Linked DNA regions of Schizosaccharomyces pombe. Changing the gene in region 3 together with the main gene of any one other region gives a genetic interaction. Each region holds a gene or a part of one and is shown on either strand. Other genes may lie near its edges.

Region 1 (6,398 bases), on a different chromosome or scaffold from region 3:
TCCTCAAAAGATGAAGTTTTTTCTTTTGAGGATGAGCCCTTTTTATCACCATATCCATTTCTTTCGCTTAAACGTCGCCGTTTGACATCTGTAATTTCGCCATGAATTGAACCATTTCTTCGGGGAAATGGATAGTTTTCTTTATTTAACACGACGCCCTCATTTGAAGACCTATCTGTCATTCTAGTAATTAATTTTTTATTTATTATGAAAATTAGAACAGAAAATGGTAAATAAGGAAGACACCAAGCTTACATGCTCTTGGTTTTTGGTAGGAAGACGAGCAACTAAAAGGGTTTTGTAGGTAACAACAAATAGGTACTTAGGCGAATATCTTGTAGGTAAGTTCAAAGCGTACACCAATAAATTTTGGTATGAGTGTCAACTGCTGAAAAGGTAAAACCACATTAAATAGGTTAGCTGTCAAATTACGATGGAGAAAGAAATCAAATATACAAGTTTATACCAATCTCCATCAAGCTACATAAACCACTACTTAATGTATTCTTGGGCATAACAAAAGACTAATTTATTATTAATGGAAGATATTAGTAATAAAAAGGACGCAATTGTCCAAAAACAAAAAGAACTAGATTCCAAGCAATAGGAATTAAGAAAACTGAGCAGAGTCATCAGCCTACAAACCGACAATTCCGATAATTTATTCTGAGACTTTGTTTACCAACGCCTAATGAATAATACAACATCAAGGTCATGTCAGTTAAACCAATACGATAACATTAACAGTAAATACGTAAAGAGATAGATTAAAAGCTGTGTCTGAAAGACAACTAAAAGAGCGAACCCTATACGGGCTAAAACCAAAACGGGATTTTAAGAGAGGGGTAAAAAATAAGATTTAAGAAGAACGAGGTTCAAGTGAGAGTGATTTATCAAATAAATAGGACAGATCTTGGTTAACAAAGCGACACCGATGTAAAATATAGCTTTGAAGATCAGTATTAGATTGCATTTCGTAAGAGGAGGATTGGAATCGGCACACATCTGCGACGACATCGGCAAGTCGATGCCGCTTATTAAAACTTAACAGATGTGGAGATGAATCAAGAACATCGGGGTTACCTTCATCGATAAAAGTCAAGTCACTTAATATGACACCCAAAAACGGTACGCAAGGAAGTTCAGCCTTGCGAAGTAAAGCACGATAAGTACTGAAATTTTTCTTTGTTTCCACGATTTCACGTAAACCAGACAGACATATTATGTCTTCAGCTTTAACAAGTTTGTACGCTGCATGTAAACGATAAATAGGAGCAGAATTTAAGGCAGAAACAATAGACATTAGAGTGGAAAAGTTTTGGAGGGACAAGCACTTGTAGGCAGTTTGTATAAAAAAGGATATTACTGCTGTACGAGCTTTGGTATTCTTTTTCTCTAAAATACAATTGATTATCCAATAGGTGAAACAATTCGAAAAGTTTATATAATTTCGGACAGCGCTGCGAGAATCGCGACTAACCCAGCTTCTAAATATCCATTCCCTCGAAGGAATCTGCTTTAGATAATCAAACTCCAATAATGTCATCTGGGAAGCAAATTCTTCAGGAGTATAAGCATATACGTTTAAAGAAATAAAAGTAGCCATGGGAGAAGATAATAGGCGTTGGGTTAACGAATCTGGAGGCTCTTCAGTCCAGAGATTGTCAATTTCCGATAAAATTACACTGCCAATATGAAAAGATGGAACAACATGGTCACGTAAAAAGGTACGCATCTCCGAAATCAAATAAAGAGTGTTACGGGCTTTTAAATCTTCAAAAAAGTATTTTTGAACCCACAAATTCATAACGGTGCAGACGTTCTTCTTGGTAACAAAATTATCTCCCTTTTCCCAAGAACTATATGCTGTAGCATCTAATCCTGGTGGCGGTAACTCGTGAAACAGAATGACAAGAAGCGTAAACAATTCCTGGGGGGTAGTGAACGTTTTATAAGTCAAAAGAAACGAATGGCGAAAATCTTTGTTCAAGTGAACGTTCTGGACAAGGTAATGCACGAGGGCCGGTAAAGTTCCACCTTTAACATTGTTATCGCTTTGCACAACTTTATTGGTTAACAAATTATCCAGCATCAAAATTGATTGCAAAGAGTTTCTGCCAAGTGTTAAGGTATCCTTGCTCATCTCGCTAACAGCGGTAAAATCAGAACTTCTAGAAATTCTAGTAGTACCTTTGTTAGTTTGACGAGCCGGTTCGTCATCTTTTGCTGTGTTTGCATTTGAAAACTTGTTTTCAAACTCTTTTGTTGCTAATTCCTGCATCTCATCGACGAGAGCAGCACGTACTTTAAGAAAATCACAAACATTTTCAAATAAAGTTTGGAAAGCCACAGCAATGGAAGCAATCATTGTAGGCATTGTAGAAAAATCGTTTGAGTGCTCCATCATCAAGTCTTGAGATGAACAAACCAGATCAGTTAATAAATCATAACAACGTTGCTTTGTAACAAAGTAAGATTGGACTGCAAAGTTTGTAGCTTGCTCGCACTCACTTAAATCTTTATCAAAGTATATCGACATATCCCAACTTTCAAGTTTGTTGAAGATTTGTTCAGAGTGGCTAGTAATTGTGGAACAAATTTCAAAGACATACTCTTCATCGGCAAAATCAGAGAAGTTTTCAATAAATTCATCACAATTTTTCAATAAAAACCATACGCACTTGTCGAGTTCGGGTAGGCAAGGCTCAAGCAAGCGTGTTCGATATGCTGATGAAACAGCAGACAAACCATTGTTGGTCCATTTGCCCCCGAAAGGAGTATTGGGAACAAAAGAAGGGTAGTAACAAAAGCGACTAAGGTATAAACTATTATTTGCACACAGAGTAAAGAAAAATTGTAAATGGTACAGAAAATCCTCAGCGCTTTGCTGTAAGCGGGGAAAAGTGTGGTCTGGAAAAATAAAAGCACGATTCGAGAAGGTCAGTACAGTTAATCTCGAAAAGTAGGGAATTATCTTATCAAAATGTAATTTAATGGGGTTTTCAAACTCAAAGTTTTGCAAGAGATTGTGTTGGAGAAGATAAAAAGTCCCGGTCTGCTGGCAGAGATTGAAGAGTTCTTCTTGGAGAGAAAGAACGAGTGATGGAATGCTCAACGCATCTCTAGATTTTATAGCAGAAAGTAAATGAGTGAACAAATAAGAGAATTTTTCATAAAAAAGAAAGAGATTAATGACTCTGTCATTAAGGAAAAGATCATCAGAAGAAGGAAGGGGGAAAAAAGGACTATTTACGAAAGAAGAATTGGGTCGCAAGGAGGACTCGGTTTGTAGTAATGAGTTAGATGAATTTGACAAAGATGAAGAATGGTTAGTACGCACAGGACCAATCGAACATCCAGACAAGGGCAAAGAATGAACAGACGCTTGCATGTCTTCAAAGGGAGATGAGGGAGGAGTGAAATCGCTTACATAGCGAATTTCTGGAGAAGCTCGGGTATTTCCTTTTAAAGGAGTTAACGGTGAACGAGGTGAAGGTTGTCGTGTAAGGGAATGGGTTGAAGAGAAACGATCATCGAAGGAGCCCTTCAAATATGGAAAGGGAGAAGTCGATGATTTATCAGAGGAAGGAGTGGGTAAAGAACCAAAATAATCGGACTCGCCATTCTGATAAGAGGAACCGGCTGTGTAAGTAGAGGAAAGAGCGTAGGAATCAGACATAGTGGAGGGAGAAAGAACACTCTTGTCTGAAAATGTGGGAGAAAGAGAATACGTAGAATAACTAGGAGTACTGGGTTTGGAAACAGAAGTCTCAAAACCCTGCCTTGATTTGAGGCGTAAACGATCCAAATTTGGTCTTCTCATTGTAGCATTGACGGTCTATATTATCTATCTATTTATTTTACCTCGAGACTTTGATATAAACAAAGTATATATGTTTGCTTAATTTAAAGTCACTTTAGGGTAGACAACGGCGAGTGAGTCAGGGAATTTTAATGTTTCTGCGAGGCATATCCTCAATTTTAAAAAGAAAAACAAGTTAAATAGTAGCAGTATAAAACCAAAAAGACCCCACGCACCAAAACACCAAAAAAAAAGGGTTTTTTATGAGTATATAAGAAACAAAAAGATTTTAAAAAAAAAATGAAGCAAAAAACGAAACTAAAAAGAGAAAAGGGAAAAAAAATACACCAAACTAATGAGTACAGGGAAGAAGCATACGCAACAGAACTACGATGCCACACGAAGTCCAACTCAGAGCAAGCTAGGCTCCGTATAAATATAATTTTTAAATGGAAATAAGTTAAGGAAAAGTGTTTTCAATTGCTTTTTTTTCAATTCCAACCAACTTTTACTATTTCAACAGCCCCCTTGTTGTAGTAGGTAGTGGTTGTGAATACTCTACCACCGGCTCTACCACTTTTGTGACTTTGCGATTAGTGTACAAGCGAACAAGCTCTTTGTCACTTTTGAGATGGGAAATTTTTTTCGAGATAACAATTTGTCAATTTTTGAAAATGCCAATAACATCCGGCCGCTATATGTTTTTTATTGAAACGTGAAATGCACAGACGAACAGAATGCTTGAAGGCCAAACATATGGCATCACGCTTTTTGCCGCCTAGGTTCCCAGCAAGTGTAAACCTTTGTATGGAGGAAAACACAGGCTTCAGGTTGACGATTTATATGGATTGTGAAGGCACATTCAGTATACCACTTTCACCACTACATTTACTAGGTTAACAATTTGAAATTCCCTTTGGAAGAGAATTGGACAAAGCTGCAAAACTCCTATGTCTATCAGCGGGAAAATGGATAGGGCCCGAAGAAGTGTCGCATTTTGCTAAGCGAATCTCAAAATGGTCGATATTGGAGCAGACGGCACTAAACTTTTGATCATGGATTTAGAATGGCCGAATGAATTAGAAAGAGCGACGGAGTATACCATTCATTTGATGAATGTAATTTGGGAAGTTGTTAGGGGTGTTCGATGGGTAATGTTATTTTGGTAATGAATTTGATCATATATTTAGCAATAATTTTGACAATATTTTTTAAATAAATTTCATTGATTCTTGTAAACATTTTCTTCACTTTGTTATCTATTTAATTTGATTTTGAACATTTTACCTTTTCTTTTAAACGTTTACTTAACTTATTTTCCATTTTATTTTACGGCATTTCAATTTTTATTTATTTTATTTTCTTATTTTATTTTATTTTATTTAATTTAATTTTATTTGCTTTATTTTATTTATTTAAATTTTTTTTTTCTTTACCCGTCTTTATATATGTTTGCTCCCGCAAGTCTATTATTTATCCTTAATTATAATAAATATAAACAAATGTGCATCGTCAATTCAGTATTAATGGTAGGGCATTTGTTCCCTTGAATAGCTTGAGAATTTTTTTTGTTTTACTTCATTTAATGATTTTATTTGGATTACGCTAATGTTGCGAATGCAATTGCTTTTTTCCCTGAAGAGGCCTTTAGGGAAGAGTACGGTCGGGAAATGAACGAAATTTAATGTGACAGGTTATTAGATTAGGAGAAATGTATGTGAAACTAGGGCATATCTGTTATTTTTGTTAAATCGAAAAATGGGATTAAACTAACACTAACACTACCACTTAAGTCATTTTTATTTTATTTATTATTATTTTTTTATAATTTGATAAAAGCTTTTTTCTGAATTGATATTATTATTATTATTCCAACTTTAGGCACTGACCTTCTCATTCAGTACCTATATGGTTCCTACATTACTTTGCGTTTAGATAGTAAATACTGCTGTTATTCAATTATTACAACTATATCTGTTTTCCAACGAATTTCCTTATTTCTTACAACTCTTCTTCCACTATTTTATGTATAGATTTATTTTATCTTTTATTTTTTACTTTTTAAATTAGTATAAGCATTGATTGTATTCTTAATGTTACCATCATTTCAACCAACTGATTATATATAAACTCTTACTGCTGTTACAAACGTCCCTATTTCTATTTTAATTTTTTTATATTTTCTGTTTTTACCTAACATTCCATAAAGTTATTATCCCAAAAACCCATAAATGATCCAATATTTAACGTTTCAATGGAAAACCCCATCCTGACCCCATTAAGCAAAATGAACGCCAACCTGATGGAAGGCGTGCAACAGAGACAAAAACTCTGTTTGTCCACACTTAGAAGCTCGGGCATCTTGAAGATTGCATTGTTGTAAAACTCCGTCAATCAAAGATTTTACATCAAAGTCTTCCTCAACCATGCGTTCGTTTTGCGAACACCACGTGCGATAGTTATTTTCGACCATTTCGATAATTGAAGAGGTTTTAAAGCAAGCACCAATGGTTTTATTTTTCCTTAAAAACACAATCCGTAACAGACCATCCCATTCCTCAAAAGCCAATGGAGGGGGTGGATTTTTTGGTTCTAT
Region 2 (4,171 bases), on a different chromosome or scaffold from region 3:
TACTACTGACCAAAAATCTATTCTTTTCAAGAGATATCTTTGCGTTGATAAATGTTGGTGGCACGGAAACGGATGCTGTCTCAAGCTTTCGTGGTGTACTGGTTTGATATGAAATTTAAACACCAAACTTACATATTAGTTGTAGCGAGTCTTTCGATTAAATTACGGTAATACCGTTGCAGCATCGTTTATTTATCTATCAATTAGGGAAATTTAATTTAATGCAATTGGATTAGTATTATTACAGCAATTTAATATATACATAAGTTAATTCCACCGACACATTTTCTACATGTTGAGATAGCGGCATTAATACTTTTGCATTAATTATTTATTTTTTATGCACTTCAGAAAATAAAAAAATTTTAGATAATATATATTTTTTTAATATCCCCGCATGTTTCAAATTTCCAAAATTAATATACTAATAGCGATATTCAATGAGCACGTTTCTTTAAATAGGAAAGTACACAGTCATCTTCTACAATAACGAGTTGTTTGAAAATACAAAATTAGCGAATTAATTAAACTCCTATGTTTTATTTTTAATGTATGAAATATATTCCACCTTTAAACTATTTGCTAATCTTGTCTAAACAGTAGCATGCTTTAACTCCGAAATGCTTTTAGCAAGAGATTGCTCCAAGTTTTGACTTTCAAAACTTAATGACTTTGTACGGTCTATAATCTGTTGGAAAGCTGAATAAGTAGGGTGTTCAATTATTATTGATTCACCGTCCAACTTAGCTTTAAACCCAAATTGTACCTCGGGTTCGGGCTCTTCGGCTTCAGTAGCAGTTTCGGCTTCCGTGATTAAATCATCAGCAACAACATTTGTAGAGGTAGATTCAATACTTTCATCTTCAGTACTTTGATCGGCAGCTACATTAGAAGCTGCGGCAACTGAAGGATTATTACGGTTTTCAACAAGTTGTATTAATTGAGCACTGTCCATTTCCAGCTTGTTAGCAAGCACATCAACACTTATGACACTGTGAATACGGCAATATGCCTCAGCAAGTAATTTGCGAGCACCTTCCAAAAAGTGATCGCACAAAGATACGAGAAAAAAGTCGGTTTTCAAAACCTCTTCACATTCTCTGAGGCAATGCTGAGCTTTTTCAAAGTCGACCTCAGTATACAAAGCAGAAATAAAAGAGGTCACAGGATCGCTGTATTCATAGTTTTCTTGGCTAATGATGCGTACGAGATCTCGCATCCTTCTTTGATAAGATTGCCTAGGGTTACGAGGTTTTTGATTTGCATTATTTTGGTTAGTAACAACAGCGACAGTCAAATATCTTAATAGCCAGGGACAAGAGGTTTGGATGGTGTTGAGATAAGGAGTATAGAAGAACAAATCACAAAGAGTATCACAACCATTTGCATGATTAAACAAAGGAAACAAGGACCAGTGGAGGAGCCAAGTTCGATTTCTCAATTGAACAGCAGAATCTTTAAAGCTTTTGGAGTCCACCATTTCGCGAAGTTTTCCCAATTCCTCCATAGCCCCATCCCAATCAACAGTCAAAATTTCAGAAGCAAATTTACCCCAGGTCGCGGAGGCGTTTAATTCAGGGTCTTTACTGAAGGCACGAAAATGATAAAGTAAATCTGATGCACCACCGTAGTTTCCACAATTATATTGAAATTGAGCAAACTTGTAAAGAACAGCTATACGTTCAGGGGTAATGTTGTAATGTTCTTGTAGGTGTTGTAAATTTTGACCTTTATCTTGACGAAGAGCTGCAATCAAGTCAGGATTTTCTAAGACACCTAAAATTCCTTGAACCTCTTCTTCAAGTTCAGAGAGCTCTTGCAAAACACTGCGTCGCTTTTCAGCAAAAGCATTTGCCATGTCCTCGTCGGTATGACCCCCATGAAGATTAGTCCACAAGTTGGCCACATAATCAGTCATATTGGTATCTTTAAGCAAATCATACTTAGCTTGTAAAAGCTCCTTTGGATCATGAGTCTGTCTTAAAGATAAAAATTCCAATAGAGGAAAAATGAGATGGCGGTCAAGGTGTTGCATAATTTTTTGCGACAAATCATACTTGACCGCTATAAAGGTTAGAAAACATTCTCCTGTATTTAAAAATAAATCTAAATTAGCTTACCTAAAGGGCTTGTACTCTTAAGCTCGGATCCCATATCTGATATGTTTCACGCAAAAAAAAAGTGCGTGGTGTGGGGAGGATAGCACAACTCACCCAAAACTCTAGTAGTAGCCCCCTTAGACTACAGTACTGAAAAGCAATATGACAATAGTAGGTCAGCAATGTTCGTACAAAAAATATTAAATTCCTTAATGATATTTTTGCTTTTTTTAACCAATAGTTTTTCATAAAACTAATTAAGCTCGAACTTACTACCAGCTAATGTAAATCAATGTGTAAGACAAATTTTTATCCGATTCTTGATCTTTACTTAAATTGTAATTATTGTCAAATACTGGTTTCTAATATTTTTTTAACTTTCGATATAAATAGCACTTCTTATACGAATAATACATAAATGCTACTTAATAAAATGTAAATGCTTACTAAGAGATAAGTTTTACACGTCCATCCATCAAAATGATAAGCTCGATATCAATCGATTTAGTAATATTACAGTATTTACGCCCATAATCTATAGCAAATTTTTCAATTACAAGTTGTTCTAAATATGCAAGAGCAATATGGTCCCCGTTATATCCTAATAAAAATAACGTCTCAATGGCTCTTCTTTTTCTTCTTACTTTTCTTGACTTCTTCTGATGCATCATCGGCAGAACGCTTTTTCTTAGACTTCTCCTTTTTCTTCTCCTTCTTGTCTTTCTTTTCTTTCTTGCTCGGCTTTTCTGAAATGGTTTCAACAGTCTCTTCAACGTCAATGTCAACCTCCTCGTCTCCGTCTATGTTAACACTCGATAATGCCTTTTCATAAGCTTCTGCCATTGCAATACTATTGCGAGTAGGGGCGACACCGGTATCGAAAAAGTTGAGACGTTCCTCGACTTGTCGACGAAGAACTTGACCAAATGCCGTAGTTGGGGCATCGCTAAAGTTATCAATACGGCTAGCAATAGAACATTTGTTAGCCAAGAAACGAGAGATGCGGCCTTTGTTTTTAGCGCCAGCTTTTCCAATAAAACTAGAATGGTAAATAATACCGTATTTAGGCGTGTTTCCACGGGTTTTCAGAGCACGGAACAAAGCCTTTTCAGCACCTAGAATCTGTACCGTAGAAGCCGGGCATTTTGACAAGTTAGTTAGACTTCCGGCATGAGAAATCAAACGAGCACCAACCATCTCACCAATTAATTCAGCAAGATTGGGAGCAACAACATTCATCTTCTGAACCAAATAGTTATGTAGCTGTTTACGATAATTACTAAGTTTAATAACACGTTCAGCAAAAGATAGAATATTCTCGAGGTCAATTTCAGAGATATCTTGTCCCATAGACACTTTACCAGCGTTGATTATACTTTGAGCAATATCTTTGTCATCGTCTACAACGGCTGCCAGATCATGAAGCATTTCGTCGTTAATGGTGGTTTTATCACCAACCAGTGTAACAATAACAGCGTATTTGTAATTGTCTCCAACGATCTTCGAAAGCTCAGGGAAATGCCAAGAATACCACTCTTTCATGCGCATAGCGAAAGTATTAATGTCCTTGTCAAGTTGATCAAGGATAGCAATAGCTTGGATAATCATGTTGTCATTTCTGTTAACATTGAACTTCACTTTTGCGCGAGAGTATGAATGTCCTAAACCAAGCTGAGCCCTTTCGAAATCACCGGGTGATAGTTGCTTGAGAAGTTTATCACCATGAAAACGAATACCACGGAGAAGATCCTGGGTAAGCTCAGAAGTGTCACATTCAATGGCATCAATTTCGGATTTAATAGACGTTGCTAAATTTTTGTCTTGGACTCCCAGAGACACCTTTTTCTTCTTTGAGGCTTTCGGCAAATTGAGTTCCAAAAAGTTTTTCAAAAAATCATTCAAAACGCCTTCAGAAATGTCGTTGGCATTTTCCAAAGCATGGGCAGCATTTTTAAAAGGAATAAAACTTCTAAGCTGCACCACTTTACCAAATTTTGAAATATCCTGAAGAGACAACTGCACTTCCTTTGTCTTCGCTGCTATTTGATCAGCTCCAACGACATCAAAAAGGG
Region 3 (4,453 bases):
TCCACGAGGTGCTGAAGCGCAAATTTGTTGATTAGGGCATCCTTCACATGCTGATGCAGTTCCTGCATTTTCAGATGACGGTCCGGGGCAATGCTCTGGTGCATCTAAAGGAACAGTTTCTTGGATTTGCATAGAAAAGCCAATATTAAAGCAAATGCTTAGTAAAAGTCTTTATTTCACGTGCTTAGTGAACTTTTAGTAGCTATTTTTGTAAACCACGTATGGTAAATTATAAGTGTAATCCGGTGTAAATTCTCTTCAAACGAATTTTTGCTAAAAGCTTTACCTCTTGTTTTACCACAATATTCTGACTAAGCTTGAAACCGTTTTACGATCTCTTGGCTAGTGGCAATGAGCTATATCGGTTTTCTACTAATCGAGTTCTAATTTTTTTACCGTAATACCCTAAAGTGTGTTAAAAGCAATGTTCATGAAAAAAATCACGTTGGAAGCATCGAAAATCAGATATTTCCAAATGAATTAAACGGCACTTAATTTTCCTTCGCTTCATTTTTACTATTCCAACAAATACATTACTTTACACTTAGCTTCTAATTTACCGAGAAACAGTTCATAAGATTAAAAAATAAAGAAACCGAAAATATAAAACCGATTTAAAGATCTTAGATTTGCACATGTAATTGAGTATTATACATGTAACCTTTTTAATGAACTTTCTACATCCGTCCTTTTTAAGCAGTAGAAGAAGCTTCAAGGGAGGGTCCAGCAGCTTCTTCAAAAGTGTTGGGTGGAACAGAGTACAAGCGTAAAATAGGTCTGTTGGGATCCTTTACAAGGACATATTTTCCATCAGGCATTTTCAAACAGACATCTGCAATAGTACGAACAATACCCCAACCATTAGACAAACTTAAGTTCATTTGGGAAGCCAAATCAGCAGGCTTATAAGCTACAACACCCAAAATGCCGTGGTGCTGAGCGTCACGGGCATTTGAACGACTGACAAAACCAACCTTCATGCTATCAACACCAGCCAATAAAGCTTCGACAGTCCAACGGGCAAGCTTGCAACTATTGTTCTTCATTTCAGTGGCAAACACAGCACCTCTTTGACTTTCGAGCTTGGAACGCCAATCCACAGAACCAGTAACATTTGTAAATTTGGGATCGTACTCATTAAGAGCCTTGATAGAAATGTATTGAACATCGTTCGCAGGATTTTTAACATAACCGTCAACTTCGGTACGAACCATTAGCTTAACAGGCTTTTCGTCTGTCTCGAGAGAAAGATCAACATCCCGATAGATATAACCGTGAGCAGCCAATGGCTCACTTTCTTCCTTAGAATTATAGAAGGGATTGGGATGAGGTAATTTATATTTCTCTTCTTCGGTTTCACGTAAAGCTTGGACGCAGAAGTTTTGGTTAATGTACGTAGCTTCGACAGAAAGGGCTCCAGGAGAATTAACACCTTCGCGGTTGTCAGCGTCCATGGGAGAATCGTATGCGTTTTCATTGACAGTGAGATAATCAAAAGGTCCGCCTTCACGTTTGTCAAAGAATAGCTTTCCACTTTGGTGAGTAATTACAATATCCCAGGGATACACTGAGCGAGTTGAACACATCAATAAAGACAAAATGGAATCCGTAATGAAAATGTTAGCATCACTATTAAGAGCGAGTTTTTGGATAACGGGGTCTTCAGTAGTGGTAGGGTTGTAATGAACACGGTCCAAGGCTTGTAATGGTTTTTCTGATTTAACATGAATCTTGTCAAAAGATTTGTCATAAGGATAAATATAACCATATGAATCCACAGTAACAGGAGCAGCAGCAGCTAAATTGAGCTTAGATAAATGGCTGAACTCAACCTCGTCAAGAAGCTGCCAGTCGTCACCAACAGTAACACTGGCGTTGCGAAGACGTTGATGTTTATCATAATCCTTCCAACCAAACCGACGACCTCTTGCTCCTCCAGCGCCTGAGGATCTAGAAACCACTGTATCACCTGCACCTCTTCCACCAGAAGAACCGTAGCGACCGCCACGACCACCTCGTTGAACGTTTTGTCCTCTACCGCGAACCTTCAATAAAGTGCCGCCGTTGCGAGCGGAAGTGCGTGTACGATTGACAGAACCACGATCGATCACCGAGAAACTGGATTCGTCCTCCGAATGCTGATAACCAAAAATGGACGACGCGCCATAACCATAAGTTTGATATTGGTCACGGAAACGACCAGCAAATGCTCCTTGACGTCCACGTTGTTCACGTCCATCTTTAGGTTGATCAACAGACCAATCTGCAATTTTTCCAAGACGGTCACCTTTACTAAAAGGAGCATAAGGAATATCACCTCCTATCTGTTCCGTTTCAGGAGGTCCCCATGCTGATTTTACGGGTGCTAACTCAGGCAATTTAAATCCAGTTGCCATTTGGGAGTGGTGAAGTTTTCTTCGAAGTGGACGCCAGTATAGTGTGCAAACGAACTGGGAGACGCTAAAACACCAAAGCCAACAATGGTAATATTTGAAGTTCTAAAGCTTTATTTGTAATACAAAAGTACTTAAATGTAATATATATACTTTTTGGTTCGTGAAAAAGTTAAATGTTATACATTTCCTTTTGCAATCAAGGTGCTATATTTGTAGAAAAACTACATCTATTAACAATTAGTATATGTTACTGTATTTATCAAACTACTTCTTTATTTGTGAACCCACATGCCTATTCAGAAGACGATATGTGGAAATCTCAACCACTCACTACATTATAAAACTATAGTAGGTAGAATTACTTTATCATACTAGCAGGTTATATCAGCACTAAATGTTATTAAATTAAAAAATGGGAGAAATTGATATTGAAATAAAAGATATGTTATGCTATAATTTAAAACTGATTACGACATCAGACTTTGCCTTTATAGTCATTGTCTCAAGGCTTAAATGTTTCTGACAAAAGCATGTTTTAGAAAATTTTAATTTCGTCAACGCTGTCTTTTGAAGAAAGAAAAAAATGAACGCCAAGGTTCTCAGACATTCTCTCTTTTCTGTCATCACATGTCGCATAAAAAATATACACATCTAATCCTATTAAAACAATTGTTTGCGAAGAAATTAATGTATAAAAACGGAAAGCACCAAATATTAAGCAGTGTTAAATGACCGCAAAAGCTGCTAAGTAGCAAAGGAGAGAGTTTAGTGCATCACATGATAAAGGATCGCATTGACAGCCTAGCACACGCAAGGAAAAAGAATGATAAAGTATGAATTTAAAATATTAATAATAATGATGGAAATATGTGAGGTCTCTATTAAAGAAACGGAACTAACTTCCTCCAACCCCGTTTTCTTTGCGCTAATCCCTTATAATGATTTATTTCATCTAGGCAGTCCCTTCCATAATTACAGCCTGCCAAGTTTACCAAGAAGTCTCCTTCTTTTTGGTTATAAAAGAAACGAGGATTTTCACCTTCACCAGCACAAGCACCTGGAGGATATGAATTGAAAAGGCGAAGAGGAACGAATCCCATGCCGCTTCGAAGCCAAGCATTATTCTCGTAGAAGTACTCAATTGCATTTTGCTCATCGTGAGGCCAATCCATGTGCTTTTGCCCATAGACTACTGGATCCCAAAGGAAGTCCATCAATCTGCTAGTCCAATCACTTCGACGAACCAGAAAAGAACCCAAACTGAAACCGTTGCAATCTTGCCCTAAAATAAAGTTGATATCTTCACTATAGTCAACAAATGGAATTTCGTGGAAATTTTTTGGATTGAACTCCATGCTATCAGTAATATTCCTGGTCGCAATATGGTCAAGTCTGTTAATAATAAGCTTTTCAAGAGAATATTGAGGTTCCATGATGAATGTTGTTAAATCGACCCACCAAAACCATTCAGCATGAGGGTATTTCTTCATGGCTTCCATGATATAATCTGCTTTTTCCCAAGATTCACGCCATTCATGAGCATATCGTCTCTTTAAGCCTGTGCTCTTCACAAAGAAATGATATCCGTGCCTTTCAGCGTATTTCTTCTTGTTCTCCGTTGAAATCTTCTCCAGCTCCCATTGTCTGGGACTTTTTACATCTAAAACGCCACCTCCGATGTTATTGACAAATATCATAACAACATTACTCTCTTTGGGACGCGTCAAGAGTGTATGCTTTAAAAAGTAGCCTGAGCAGAGCAACAGTACCACAAAGACGAATAACCTATGTAGATGCGTCTTGGTAAAATACTTCCTTCTAGTATCACCTTCTTTGGAATCAAGTACATTGGAAGTGCCTGGCTTAGGGTAAGGAAAGGATTTAAACTTAGCTAATGCTTCTGACTTCTTTTTGGGGTTCCACATTTTTTAATATAATATAAGACTCGACGTTTACGTTAATTCTTCTTATTAACCTTTAAATTATATATTTTCGAATGATAATATGACTACGGCAATGCCGTTTGAGGTTTCACACAGAACTAGGCTGTTTGGCAA
Region 4 (5,551 bases), 1.0 Mb from region 3:
TTAATGAAGTTGGTACGTCGAAATTATTGAAAATTTTGGAATTTTTTGTGAATTATTTCTTTTTATAGTGTGTAGACGGATTTGCTAATATTTTGATAGGTTTCTGCAAAGCGATTTAACAAAAGTGTCGAATTTCCTATGCCATTGAAAGAGCGACAGCGAAGAAGGATTGCGTTACAATGGATCCTCGGTGAATGTAAATCATCAAGTCCTAAAAGATTATCAGATCGTATTGTTAAAGAAATCATTGCTATCAGGAGCAAGACAAGCAATTGTTTCAAAAAGAAAGATCATCTGCACAGAATGTGCCTTGTTAACAGAGGTAATGCACCCGTTCGTATATAAAAACAAAAATTCCGTACATTTTTATCTTTTTTATGAATTGCATTCCCTTTTAGTAATGTTATTTTTGTCTAGTATATCGAGAATTGATTACTCTTAGTTATCAACTCAATTATACTACGTAGTGCGCAGTTAATCATATTCATGTTTATGAGGTTATAGTTTGGTTGTAAAATAACTTTCATAATATTCATCAACATTCTTCTACAGCTCCTTTTCAGTTAACGGAAATGCTACAGAATTTATCTTCTATGAAGTATATTGTTGTTTTTTCAAAACAAAGAAGGGAAAGTAAATTAGTTCATCGACTAAACTGTTAATTTCCTCTATATAAATTAAATTGACAATGTACAGCTAGCACAATGCTAGTTTAGAAATAAACAACAACGTGCAAAGACACAGTATCCATTCCTTTATTATGGACAGGATCCATAAGTTCAAACGTGCACGTTTCAAATGCCATTAAAACGTCTTCATCGGATGTGATGGTTATAAAATCGCCATCCTCATCAACATACTTCAGTCTAACCCGAAAAGGAACAGCTTGTTTCAAAATCCCACAAAGCTTTATTTTATGTTCTACCTTGGCTAACAGCTCATCAAATGTTATATCATGAGCAACAACCAGGACGAGACTAACCTCATGTAAACGGAGACGAATTTTAACATTCGTGGTATTTCGAACTGATAGGGAGGTAGACGTGGAACTCGAGCTTAACGAAGTATGTTTAGTAGAAGGGAGCAAACTACCATCTGATTTCATACCCGCTGAATATGAATATTGACGAGGTCTCATTACGTCGCAATCATTAGTAGTAGGTTGATCAAAAATTTTTTGTTTCGTTGATGAAGATGTATCTTCAAAAATGCTGACTGAAGACCCATCATCAGTACCTGAATACACCCTAGTTATATGACTTTGACGATTGTAGTTATAGTCGTTCAATAGCGAATTGACCTGGCTGATACGAGAGATTTGGCTAGGAATAGATGCAGTCGATGAAGAATCGTTACTAACTATAGTTGATGTTGTTTGCGAAGTACGAAGGCTACTGGTACCCACTGATTCTTCGCTGTTTAAACGAATGAAATCCGATGGCCTTTCATCAGTTGTGGTGGCAGACTTTGTATCCTTAGAAGTAGTTTTCGTGAACGGACTAGATTTGGAAGAGGGACTGGAAATGCTTGTAGGAGAATTAACATTTTCGTCAAGAGAATGTGTACGTAAAAGATCATAGTCGGAGGAGTTGTAACCCTTTGAAGTCTGAGAAGAAGAACGATTGTAGACAGGGTTAGCAGGGGTCGAAGCAGCACTACGAATATCCTTTGGAGATCCGTGCTCGTTTTTCCATAAAAGTCGATTAAGAACGGACATCCATAGTTTATGACTTTCTTCATTACGTAACTTAAGAATAAAAGATTCATGTTGAGGATCACCACGCCAAAATATTTGAATAGCATATGAGCCCATGTGATGGTTGGGAACCACAGTAGTGATGTTGGATGTCAGAATTCTTCCCTTCAGTTGAAGACTATCAAGACGTTTAGTTTTCTTGTTCATACTTATACTTCGGGCTTGCCGTTTCAGAGTTGACATTTCTTTACAACATAACAAAATTTTTTCAAAAAGGTAAACGTGATACTCTCTTTCTATATCGGCTTTGCATACATTAACAACATCCCAAACTAGCAGTTGTCCAAAGTATTGAAGAGAGTATCCTTTCCAATCAATCACACGTTGTTCAAGCTCAATAATGGCATTTCGGTTTTCATGAATACGACGAGTCTCATTAACTTGGTTTGCTACACGAACTACACAAGCCATTCCTTGTTTTAGTTCCTCTTCGTACTGATAACCTGAGGGAGTACCTTTTAGTAATTGATTCAAGAGAAGCGGATATTTACATATACGCTGTATAGGCTTAATCAGCAGAGCTGGTAATTCATAAGAGGGCTCAAGCAGGTTCGCAACTTTCAGTAACTGATTTTGATTATCAATGATCAGTTGTTGAGCATTCGGAAAATTTGTACAAAACACTTGGTAAACAGAAAATCCCTCTTCTAAGGCAATGAAGAGTGCGCCTAGTCGTTGTTCTTCTACAGGAAGCGAAAGATTCATCTCTAAACCAACCAAAAAACGTCTTTGAAAGTCTAAAATCTCGTTTAAATTCGTAAATATACTGAGAATAGTGTCCTGGGATAGAATTTGTTTTTGTTGAAGTATGACCATATAGTTGGACAAATATTCTAAATCTTGAATGTATTTTAATTCGGTTTCATATAATTCGGCAGTGACTCTACGGCCAGATGCAATCAAGCTGTTAAGAGTTCCTGTTGGTACATTATCATCAGTAGAAGGACTAGGAGTAGAAGATGATTTTGTGGTATTGGAAACTTCATACTTTTTCAATAAAAGTTCAATGGTTTGAAGAGCTCTAACAAGTGGAGCTGTCGAGGGTTTATAAATTTCTGATATGGAAAAAAGGGCGGCGTCTGTGAGTCCAAGTTCATTTTTACACATGAGCATGAAACGATATAAACTAGCTTTACACACGTTCGTATTTTCCAAAGAAACCGAACTATTAACTTCCAATTTTTGCTTAACTGGCAAGCAATTGAACAGGGCACACAATGGATAACCTAAACGACAAAACAGCCAAATTTCCGTAACTGGATCATCAAATTCAATGTCCTTAAATTCCAGTATTTTGAAAGAGCTATTCAAGGCTTCACGATGAATACTGTCAAAGAAAGCAGCCAACTCTGATATATCCATCAATCGCTTCCGGAGATTTAGACATCGTCTGTATAATGAAACCGTATTTTCTAAATTATAAATAACTTGTGACGGAGACTGTAAAAGCCTAAGTTTCATGTATTCTGACAGATTAGTCTCATCTTTACGAGGACCTACAAGGTTTTGGGTGCTGTGATTGATGTAAGAAGGAAGAGACCTAGAGGATGCTTTTAGAAGTTAGTTAGTTAATTGCATACACATAAATGGCGTTTTTGTGTTCTAAATTTCTTTCAATCGTTACATACTTTTGCGATCCTGAAAGTAGGCCATAACTGATAACTTCTTCTCGAGACTCCTTCCTAATGCAGTAAAATACAGAAAATAAAATTTCCTTTAACTGCTAGAAAAGTATAAGTACTCGCATGTAGTCCAATGCTTGAACAATTAATGGAAATTCAAACCAACAACCCAATTTCAAGATTTCTTAAACATAAAAAAGCCTGAAGTTTCTTTGGAATTAAATATAAAAATTAAAACTGACTCCAAAGTAAAATTGTCTAAAATAAGTTGCTGTTTTACTGCAATTGATAAAATCACAGTATGTATAGTTGACAAGGTACTAAGGTAATAGTGAGACACTTGGCGATCAGTTGAATCGAATAGCGTATCGTAAATGTATTACGGTAAATATACTTGTTTCTTCAGTTCATTTGATAGAAAATCCTACTGCTAAGTCTTTTGAAACGGAGATATTATGACGATAAAATAGCTGGCAACTGAAATTTCATTGCTAAAAAAATGAAGGGATATCTCCAACCATCCCAATATTAAAACGATTACAAAAGGCAAGCTTGCAAATTTGGTAAATAAATTAAGTAGAGCGATTGTTTTAGTAATGTAACAAGGAAAATCATGTATTGAACGGGAATTAAAAAAAAAATTAGTAAGACACAAATTTGGTAGGAAAGGTAGATGTCCAAGAAAAGAGTGAGGTCTTTAAAAAGGACGACGATGCTAAATAAACCAATTCAGCCTTTCAATTGATAAGAAGAGACAAAAAAGTTAAAAAAATTAATGTTAAGAACGTATTGAAATACAGTAGTAAAATGATAACGAATGGACCTGATGACTTAAAAGTATAAAACAGGGATAACGAGAGTAACGGCTTAATAAAAAGACTGAAAACAAAAATATTAAAGTAAAAGGAGTGAGTGCTTGACAGAAAGAACAAAGATAAGTAAGGGAAAATAGGAAAGATTTGAGGACTAGGACTCGGAGCACAAGTTTGACAACTTATCTGACAACAACTCGCTTCGGAAGAAAAATTGTCGTAGTTGAGATAATACATCTTGAGGAACAGAAGAGCTCATATTATTAGTGATATCACGTAAAAAGGTATTTTGTTCTGCACATAATCGTTGCCAATCAATAAGTAAAAAAGACAGTGTTTCTGTGTCAACGTTTCTTCCCATTGGAGAGGTCGAATGAGAAGAGGGACTTTCGGCAATTTCATGAGGAGATAATTCTTTTTTCTGTAAACTGTCGTTGGTATGTTTTAAAGAAGCCAAGATGGAATAAATAGAGGATTCAGAAGATTCGGATGGCTTTTCGATGAGACCCATCTTTTCAAGTCGTTGTTCCAATACTTGTACGCTATCATGAACTTCCTTCAGCATAAAAGAAGCTGAAGGACCAACCTTGTTAATCTCGTTTGATAAAGATAATGTACCAAAGCTCAAAGTGTTCGATAGAGACTTAAGATAACGTAACTCTGTCTCAGTGGATTGTTTCCTGATTTCTTCCAGCTCTTTCTTCGTATTCTCCATATCCTCTATAGGAGCCTTTAGTTTGGTTAATTTGTTCTCCTCTAGACTGCTTAACTTGGGTAAAGATTTGAGAAGCTTCGAGTACATCATTTGATATGCCAGTTTCTTTTCCAAATTTTCTTTTTTGGCTTTGCAAATTAATAATTTCTAAATTTTGCATGTTAACACACTGAATTAATGTTTCTATTTAAAACTTTACATACATTGTGCAATTTGCCAAACAAATTGGCTTCTAAAGGTTCCACTTCTTTGCTCTCACATATCGACTTGTTAATTAAAAAGGAATTAGCTGGAGAAAAGGCCATCGCGCTTACAGTCGAAAATATACTGCGTTTGGCACTAGCTTAAAACATGGAAGCTCCAAGTACTTACTATGAGTAGCGGAAATTGTGACTTGGCGAAACGAGTAACAAATGTTTATAACTATGTATTGTAAAAATAATATTTTATGAGTACGAAGATTAGTCTAAATGAATCGAAACTTTTTGAGGTAATTAGTAATTCGATTGTAGTTAAGGTATTTTATCTGAGAAACCGGCTTTCTAACGTTTTACAGCCACAGATCACTTAGACAACTGTTCTGATTAAAATATAACTTTTCCACGAAAGCTGATTATCACTTAGACCATAGCTAAAAAATCCTAAG

The links.
Region 1: mutations in moe1 (region 3) and efc25 impair growth when combined (synthetic growth defect), as found in Schizosaccharomyces pombe (2 studies listed by BioGRID, with this or other methods).
Region 2: of moe1 (region 3) and int6, extra expression of one rescues a mutant of the other (dosage rescue), as found in Schizosaccharomyces pombe (one study listed by BioGRID).
Region 4: mutations in moe1 (region 3) and scd1 are lethal when combined (synthetic lethality), as found in Schizosaccharomyces pombe (2 studies listed by BioGRID).

The regions. Positions count from the first base shown.
Region 1 is NC_003423.3:2,737,627-2,744,024, reverse strand, and holds efc25 (Ras guanine nucleotide exchange factor efc25), read right to left. Parts: upstream 4,354-6,398; 5' UTR 3,824-4,353; coding exon 860-3,823; 3' UTR 506-859; downstream 1-505. Other genes in the region: DNA polymerase delta catalytic subunit Cdc6, read right to left, coding at 1-182; cdh1 (SSU rRNA dimethylase), read right to left, coding at 6,081-6,398. UniProt on the Schizosaccharomyces pombe protein: Has a role in chromosome segregation and cell morphology upstream of the ras1-scd1 pathway. Promotes the exchange of ras1-bound GDP by GTP leading to its activation.
Region 2 is NC_003423.3:938,108-942,278, forward strand, and holds int6 (translation initiation factor), read right to left. Parts: upstream 2,202-4,171; 5' UTR 2,155-2,201; coding exon 2,121-2,154; intron 2,065-2,120; coding exon 593-2,064; 3' UTR 514-592; downstream 1-513. Other genes in the region: U3 snoRNP protein Nop56, read right to left, coding at 2,718-4,171. UniProt on the Schizosaccharomyces pombe protein: Component of the eukaryotic translation initiation factor 3 (eIF-3) complex, which is involved in protein synthesis of a specialized repertoire of mRNAs and, together with other initiation factors, stimulates binding of mRNA and methionyl-tRNAi to the 40S ribosome.
Region 3 is NC_003424.3:4,549,794-4,554,246, reverse strand, and holds moe1 (translation initiation factor eIF3d), read right to left. Parts: upstream 2,408-4,453; 5' UTR 2,397-2,407; coding exon 693-2,396; 3' UTR 506-692; downstream 1-505. Other genes in the region: Fe-sulfur cluster assembly ATPase Nbp35, read right to left, coding at 1-132; gmh5 (alpha-1,2-galactosyltransferase), read right to left, coding at 3,278-4,321. UniProt on the Schizosaccharomyces pombe protein: mRNA cap-binding component of the eukaryotic translation initiation factor 3 (eIF-3) complex, which is involved in protein synthesis of a specialized repertoire of mRNAs and, together with other initiation factors, stimulates binding of mRNA and methionyl-tRNAi to the 40S ribosome.
Region 4 is NC_003424.3:3,513,688-3,519,238, reverse strand, and holds scd1 (RhoGEF Scd1), read right to left. Parts: upstream 3,693-5,551; 5' UTR 3,410-3,692; coding exon 3,385-3,409; exon of another isoform or gene 3,307-3,384; coding exon 713-3,306; 3' UTR 505-712; downstream 1-504. Other genes in the region: rsm7 (mitochondrial 37S ribosomal protein uS7m), read left to right, coding at 1-12, 100-345; protein Pos1, read right to left, coding at 4,345-5,052, 5,109-5,210. UniProt on the Schizosaccharomyces pombe protein: Required for mating and morphogenesis. May contain a cryptic binding site for cdc42 that is enhanced by binding Ras. Interacts directly with scd2. Promotes the exchange of cdc42-bound GDP by GTP.